2 linked regions of the Solanum lycopersicum genome follow. The protein of the gene in region 2 interacts with the protein of the main gene of each other region in a biochemical or structural test. Links are inferred from orthologs where the notes say so. Each region holds a gene or a part of one and is shown on either strand. Other genes may lie near its edges. The genes, in order: flowering time control protein FY and flowering time control protein FCA.

The links.
Region 1: the proteins of flowering time control protein FCA (region 2) and flowering time control protein FY form a complex in vitro, tested with the Arabidopsis thaliana proteins (3 studies listed by BioGRID). The link is inferred for Solanum lycopersicum from reciprocal best matches to the Arabidopsis thaliana genes FCA and FY.

The regions. Positions count from the first base shown.
Region 1 is NC_090807.1:57,354,112-57,358,536, reverse strand, and holds the start of flowering time control protein FY, read right to left. Parts: upstream 3,090-4,425; 5' UTR 2,684-3,089; intron 2,580-2,683; 5' UTR 2,497-2,579; intron 1,914-2,496; 5' UTR 1,868-1,913; coding exon 1,555-1,867; intron 725-1,554; coding exon 633-724; intron 1-632.
Region 2 is NC_090800.1:63,230,559-63,234,386, reverse strand, and holds part of flowering time control protein FCA, read right to left. Parts: intron 3,170-3,828; coding exon 3,099-3,169; intron 2,534-3,098; coding exon 2,455-2,533; intron 1-2,454. UniProt on the Arabidopsis thaliana protein: Plays a major role in the promotion of the transition of the vegetative meristem to reproductive development. Plays a role in the regulation of flowering time in the autonomous flowering pathway by decreasing FLOWERING LOCUS C mRNA levels.

The sequences.
Region 1 (4,425 bases), on a different chromosome or scaffold from region 2:
CAAATTTTAACTGTCAATTGTGATGGAGAGTTGAGTTGTGTTAGAGGATAATTTAAGAGAGTCTAGACCCAAGCTTCTCTCATGTGAACAATAGTAGGGAATAAAGGGTATCAAAAACTAATGTTATGGTGTTACAAAAAGAATTTTTTTAAAAAAAAGAAAAAGAAAACAAATGGTGTTCATGGACAATGGAACAATGAATCCAAACTATCCATAGAAGGTTTTTATCTTTGATTATACCAAACCCTGTAAAAGGATTTCCATAATGTTGGTGAAAATGTTGGGGCAGATGAATAAACACGTACCAACTATTCCTTACTGTTTATTTCCCACATTGATTCCCAACTGTACACACATTTTCTAGGCAGGGATAGGTTGATATTGAATGAAAGCAATCTTGCTAGTTTTTCCTAATGGTAACGGGAAAACAGCTTGTGGTTGTAACCCCTTTGAAAGAAAGAAAAGAGGAAAATGAACCCACACTTGACGTAAATTTTCTTAGTGATGCAGGATAACAGCTACTGATTCTAGCCCCTTGCTGATCTATATAGAAGTAACATATAGAAGAACATTTACGCAACACATTGCATAACTAGTTCTCTGGGTAAATGCCAACATTCAACAGTTATTACCTGCATATATCTTACAACTGTACTGGTGTAGTCAACTGCTCTTCTCTGGCCAATTTTTCTCATTCTCTTTGCAGCAAAACTGTCAGCATGAGCTGCAAATATAAGGAAAAGAATAAGATTTTGGCAGACATCGTAATCAGGTCCTGTAAATACTTAACAAAATAAAAATTAGGTGAAGTGAATTATGTGTCATCAAAGCAAATGGAAGTCTCTAAGAACAAGGTAACTTTCATCCTCTCTTTAACTTTATGGACCTAAACCTACCCAAGCAATAAGAATTGGTAGGTTCTATGAGAATTTGACAATCTGAGACACTCATAGTCTCATTATCAGTCAACTTGCGGGAAAGAGGCGATCTATTCTAGCCGCCGTATCTCATGACAAGAAATAGAGAAGTCATGAGAATCAACCTTCTTTTTGCTTCAAACATTCCGTCTTTCATCATGCTTCCTCTTATAAAATGAATGAAAATGATAAATGGCAATAAGAGTTCAAGATGAATATCTGTGAGTTGAAACTCTTCTTTCTTCTCCAACAAAATAGAAACTACATGAGCCATGAAATAACGACTAAAGAGGTCCTTCCCAGAGAAAACAAAATAGCATGTTCAAATGACACCTAGTTTCTACTAAAATTCTCTCTCCCTTTTTCCCATTAAAATTACAGTCAATTTCCAATTTTCAGTATCTAGCCATATATTTTTTCAGATTAATGAATTACACAGCAGCAGTTTGATAACTAAAATCAAAGAAATAAAAGAGAAGAAGTAGAAGCCGAAAAGTTGTAGCTAGGTATTTTTTCCTACAATAAATCAATTTGATAACAACTAGATTCTTGATTCGAAAACCAGCTGCCCGCTCGGCTGAAAAGCATATCAATCAATGATAAAAGTAAAAGAGTAAATGAAACATTAGTAACACACCGTCATAAGAAGGATGAGGAGGAGGTCCAGGTAGCTGAGAGTTAAGAGTAGTGGAGGATGCAGATGGCTGCCGCATCATGGGTGGTGGACCTGGCAGAGGTTGTGGACCCCTTGGAAACTCTCCAAAATGTGGAGGGTGTTGTTGCTGGTGCAGTTGCTGGTGCTGTTGCTGGTGTTGTTGCTGGGGCTGTTGCTGATGTTGTTGCTGCGGCTGTTGCTGGGGTTGTTGCTGGTGTTGTTGCTGGAATTGTTGCTGTGGCAGCGGTGGGTGCTGGTGCTGCTGATGCTGATGAGGATCACCACTCGCCATCATAGTTGCGGATCCAAGATTCAAATTTATGGATCCAAAATTCAGAGTTCTAGGACAATGGCCTTGAGTTAATATACAATAATAATTGGACCAAGTATCTGATATAGATATTCAATACATATTTGAAGAAGTTAACAACCACCTAAACACAAACATGTAAATCTTTCAAAAATAATCAATAATTACATTCATTGGGCACAAGTGCAAACACAATAACCTTTGATTTTCTTCAAACACCAATTGGCTCAAATCACAATATGCAAAATACCTAACAAGAGAGATTGCATTCCATATCTAATTGAGGAAGCTAAGAATTAAGAAAGCACCCAAAAAAATCGTTTCAACAACACACATACTGTACTGTAATGCAATCTAAAATATAACTCTGGATAATATTAATGAGAAGACACGGATTTTCATTCTAAATTTCTAATTTTTAATATGAACTTCACATAAAGAGACTGAGAACCACCCACTAAAAGAACATCGTGAAAGAAACCCCGGAATCAATCACATCGCATAAAAATGACAAACTGAAATTTGAATTAAAAAACTATGCCAACCTAAATTCTTAGAATATAGTGCTACACAAATATAAGAGATGAACAGGAAAAAAAAAGTAGCTGGTGTACCAGTTACAGAAACGTGAAGGAACCAGCAACACAGATTCGGAACTCCAGTAAAAAGGACCTTTAGCTAGTGCTACAATGGATGGCTGCAAGAAGTAAAAAGGGTTTAGGGTTTTTAAACCAGGAGTTAGAGAAAGAAGGAAATGCAGAGAGGTATCTAGTGAAAGAGGGAAGAAACGGAGCAACTTACTAGGCAAAATCTTCGCCGGAGATATCAACGGCGAGGGAAGCGCGATGTATTCGCCGGAGAGAGCAACGGCGAGGGTGTAGTAGCAGTGGACAGGTTTGGTGGTAATTTAGTGTGGGCTTAATTTGGAGTCCATGTTTTGTGTAAATGGAGATTTGGACAATGGAAAATGAAGTGAAATCCTCAAGGCCCAACACCAAAAATTACAGAGGAAAATCTAAAAGTTATTTGCGTAAAAAATGGAAAAATCACATCTATCACATAAATAATTAAGACTTTATATTACTATTAAATATAAAAATAAATTTTTATTTATCAAATATAATAATTATTATTATAATAGACTTGAATTAATAACATACTTGTGATCTTTAGGTTAATTTTATGAAAAGAAAATATGATTTTGGGGAATAATTACTGATGGCTTAGTTTCAAATATATATGGCAAAGTACTTAGAACCCATTTGGATTAATTTAAAAAGAAAGTAACTTTAAAGTCAAACTTAGATGACTTTTGGATCAAAAAGTAAAAAGTATAAGGAGATCTACTTTGTTTTAACTTAGTTTAAATTATTTTAAATTAATTTTAAATTATTTTTAATTTTGTCAAACGCTTCCTAAGTATTTTAGGTCATTTTAAACTTATTTTAAAATTTATCAAATACTTTTAGAAATCAAAATTGATTTAAAAGTAGGTTTGACCATCTTTTAATTCAATCCAAACACCCTCTTAGTTGACAATGAATATAGTCATGTTTTATTAATATAAAATAAATAGCCAAAAATCATAGAAAGTATTTATTGACTGTACAATATAAGTATACACGTAATATACATATAATTTATTTATATATGAGTTATACACTTACTATATATTATGATAAATTCAAAAAGTTGAATATTGTTTAACTTTATATAAATCGTACACTAACTATACGAAAAGTATGCACTCACTATTAAATTTCAATTAACTTTAAATCTCATTTAAACAATCAAAAGCTCTTCCTCTTTTATCCCAAATCACCATGTTTTTTCTACCATTGTGACCCACCAGCATTTTACAACCTGTACGAACAAAGACAATAGTCTCAACTCCTAAAATCTTAAGACGTTGCTGGAAAATAACTAGATGAGCAAATTTCTCACTTCAGAGGACATTATATCAGTGTTTTAACTACTGCACACTTTTTTTTAATAATCTCCTAGTAGCACTTAGTCGCTCACACTCCACCAACGAGCTTGTTTTTCAAACAACAAAAGTTATCCATCAATGGGTATGTATTAACTTCTCTTAGTTTTTTTTTCCAGTCAGGTGAGGGTATTGTCCTCTCATAAATGTGTAGGAATTATAGTTTACAACCTAAAATCATCGATAAGCAAGAAGGAAATCAAACCCAACCCTGAAAATGCTATTATATTTTTATAAACTGATGTATGGTAGATTTGCACTCATTTAAGTTCCATTTAGCGCAATAATTAGTGTTTTCAATGTCTAATTTTGTCCTATTCTAATAATATTTTCGATGATTTGCAACTATAAAGACAAAGACTGATGTTTGAAGAATGACCAAAAATACAAAAAGAAGTATAAAGTAAATATTGTTGATCGTCTAACATGAAGGACAGATCACCAATTGAGCAGGACCTTGTCCAAATTGACATTGCATAACACTTGTGTATATCAAAGAAGGTCGGCGGATACCAGTAAAGAAGGCGATGCATTGAATGAAAATGATGGTCCTAAT
Region 2 (3,828 bases):
CAGAACAAGTTATGCAACTTATAACTGAAAACATTCAATCAGATATCATTATAGCCTGACGAAGATAGATTAACAAACACCTACAAAGAAGTGAATGAAGGCCAGAAATGGGGAAATGCATCAAGCCCAAGAAGCAGACAATCAAAATAACTTAAAGATGCAAAGCACAAAACAGAAACCAAAGTGAGAACCCCGTCACTGAAAATCAGTAACCTGACTCACTAGCGAATTAACTCAGCAGCACAACATTAACTGTAATACCTTTAGAATAAAAAACTTGTACTTCCCTGATTTTAGCCCAGTGACAGGCATCAAACATCTTTCATATCACTATTACTCTTTTTCTGACACAGTTTCTACAGATCCTAGAAACTTAAGTGGTGAAACTGTTTTCATTCCATGCAGTGTTGACCAACCATGTCATTCATGCAACTGCTCAGTCAAATTTTTAACTCTAGCCACCTTTTGTGGCATAATGGTGACATATGGCTAAATTAAAATATAGAAATTCTCAAGGTCCAAATCATACACTCACTACCTACCATGTGTATAAAGCAGATACTTATTATGATGGTCCCCTGCAGACAAAATAATATGTTGTTTGATAGAGCTCAATAAAGTCATGAGCAAAATAATTTGTTGTTTTATGGGATGCATATGAAGCTCAATAAACACACCTGCTATGCACCCCATGGGTTTTGGTAATGGAAAAGCATCACAGGGACGCGCAATTAATATACACAATCAACCACCGCAGAAGAATGAAGCCAACCATATATAATCTAATATATCTTATGAGGGAAATTGTTAAAGCAGCCTGCATTGATGATGAACTTCATCAAGAAAATTACACATCCATATCCATTAATGTACACAAATATTATATTGACCATGCCACTACACAGCAAAAGCAGTGCGCACAACCCTGTTTGTTCTACAAGGGTGTCACAACCCTGTTTGTTCTATAAGAGTGTCACATCCTGTAATGGAACAAAATCTAGAATTTACATAATGTGGCATAAGATGCACATGCCTTTGTTAATGAACAACTACCATTACTTCTGACAATTGTTATTGATCAGAAGCCAAAACTCAAAATCAACCACACCAAGAGCCAAGAGGATCACATAAATTAATAATTAAATTAAAACACCTTCCAGTGCATTATCATAAGAACCTCATCCACCCATGAACATCATCGAACAAACATTAAGAAGCATTCAATGAAGAGCTCACTCGTATTGGGGTAAATAATGCAAGATAATTCACAAGGCCCCTATCAGCACAAGCAATAAATTGAAGATGGAATATTAATATCCTAAACATCACATTCATCGTGGTATATGTTTGAAAAATCCTGGGGATACATTCAAATACACGATATTGCACCAAAAAAAAAAAGAGAAAATGGCAATGTCATGTCATCCAGGCATCTACCAAATACCAACCAGACACACTCATTCATCATGCACCGTATGTTGCAAATGATAAGCATACGGACGTATCGAGGAACTATTAACTAAAGGAGGGTGTGGCTTCAAAATCGACCATACATACGCATTCAACTGAACAGGAGATGAATGGAGAAGAATAAATGTCTAAATACACATAGCACTTCAGAATGATTTCACTAACAACTCAAATCAGCATCTAGCAGCCATGTCAGTCTCAGCACTCTGATTAAAAAGATACTCTATTTATTTGTTCAGTTGTTTGTTGTCATACACCAACCACTGTGATAAGATAAGCTTCAGATGAGATCTAGGAAAGCCTCAATAAGTTAATCATTCTCCGAAAATGAAAAGTAGATGATATTAGACTGTTAATTAATACGACAATTTACCAAGGAAATAGTTTGCAATTCATCCCTCGCTTCTAAAGAGATATGCTAAACATCCAGCTGGACACACCATTTCTATTTGATGATCCAACTTTACATCCACAAAAGAAATCCACAATTGGATTACTATAGAGTCAAGCCCGCATCAACATGATGAATTTCCACATCTACAACAACTGAGTAAATCATATCACTACTCCAATGGAATAGAAGTTGGGCACATCACAAGGTAATAATCCAAATGTCAATCATTTCAAGTGATGTACATCCAGAGATTCCACAAAGTAAACACAGAAAACAGTTGCGCTCACATAACCTAATACAATAATCATACTCTAATTTCTCCAACTGACGCTTATTCTACAAAACAAGACTTTTCTTCAATATTGTCTACTTCCACAGGAAGGTTGATTCACAAGTTTTATTCTCGTCTTCTCTTTGGTTGACTGGATGAACCCAAAAGACAGTTGCAATCAATACCAGGCATCCAGACAATTGTGGAAAACTAACTGACATCAAACATGATCTTATACTGCTCCTTCAGCCCTCAAAGGTCCTGAAAAGAGACATGTAGATCCAACGCAAATCTAAAAAAAAAATCTAGCAATACATACCTTGTTGTTGCCCAGTTCTCTTATCTTTAATGAAAGCAACCTCGAGTACTCGTCCTTGTTCCTCAAACAAAGGTCGGATCTGACATCAAACAAGAACGATCAGCTAATTGGACTAAGAGATAAGGAAGAATACCAAACACATTTTGAAATGATACAGTTTGAATAAAAAGAGAAGATCGGATGGCAGCATTCTTGGCAAACAATATGCATTGAAGTGTAGAAGTTAATAGGAAGCATATCCAGTGAAAATGAACTTCCTAGAGCATACAGGTCAAGGCAAGCAAAATCATAGTGGCATACCATCGCTCAGAAAATGTTCATCTCAACTACTTTCTGTTAAGAGAAATCAACATCAAATGCAAGTTATCAATCAATCCGAATACCAACATATTACATGTCCGTTCGCAATATAGTTTATTCTTCCCTCTTTGGCATGATATCAAGATCAATAGTGACACAGAGAACTAAGTACATGCCAATAAGGATATAAAATACGGCAAAGAAGAGAGGGCATGATCAGGAAATCTAGGAAGCAAATATAGTAGGAACCAGAACACAAAATACTAGTGTCACCTATTATGAGTACAAATAACAAGGAGGAAAAAAAAGACAAATGACAAGTTTAAAGAATAACAAGGACTTACATCTTCTTCAGTTGCCGTTCTTGGGACAGATCCAACAAAAAGTTTGGCAAAACCAGCCTCGTCAACTTGTTCTGAATGAATATGGATAACAATGAATACACTAAAAATAATATTTAAAAACAGAAAAACAAGCAGAGAAAAATTAAGGACCTATCGCGTGTTAATTATATACTAAGACGAATGTCACAAAACTCCCCTAACTGAACAAAAGATCTGCATTACATTGACCAAGCAATATGCAACTGCCTTGTAGTCAACAAATTTCATACATATACATTGAAAGAAAAACATTGGACCAAAAGTATCTTTCAAAAGTATGTTTACAAGTAATTGCTACATTATATACACAGGATTTCCAGTCAAAAGAACCATGATGCTAGACATTTTGATCTAGGAAGTACATAAGAGACATCCAAACAGAATAATACAACTTAGAATACTCTTCAGGCTCGATGTGCACATATAACTATAGGACAAAGGCGGGGATAAAAAAGTTGTACATGTTAGCCAAGGCAAGGGAGAAGATGACACGTGACCTGGACCAAGTTAAGTGCATGAAGGATGAGGACATCAAAGTACTGGAAGAAACACTCATTAGACAGAGATGATGGACATCAAAGTACTAGAGGACGAAACACTCATTAGACAAAGATGACAGTCATACTCCCATAAACTCTTGAATTAGGGGGGTGGCAAAGACAATTGTGCTGGGGGATCTGGATCACTCCAA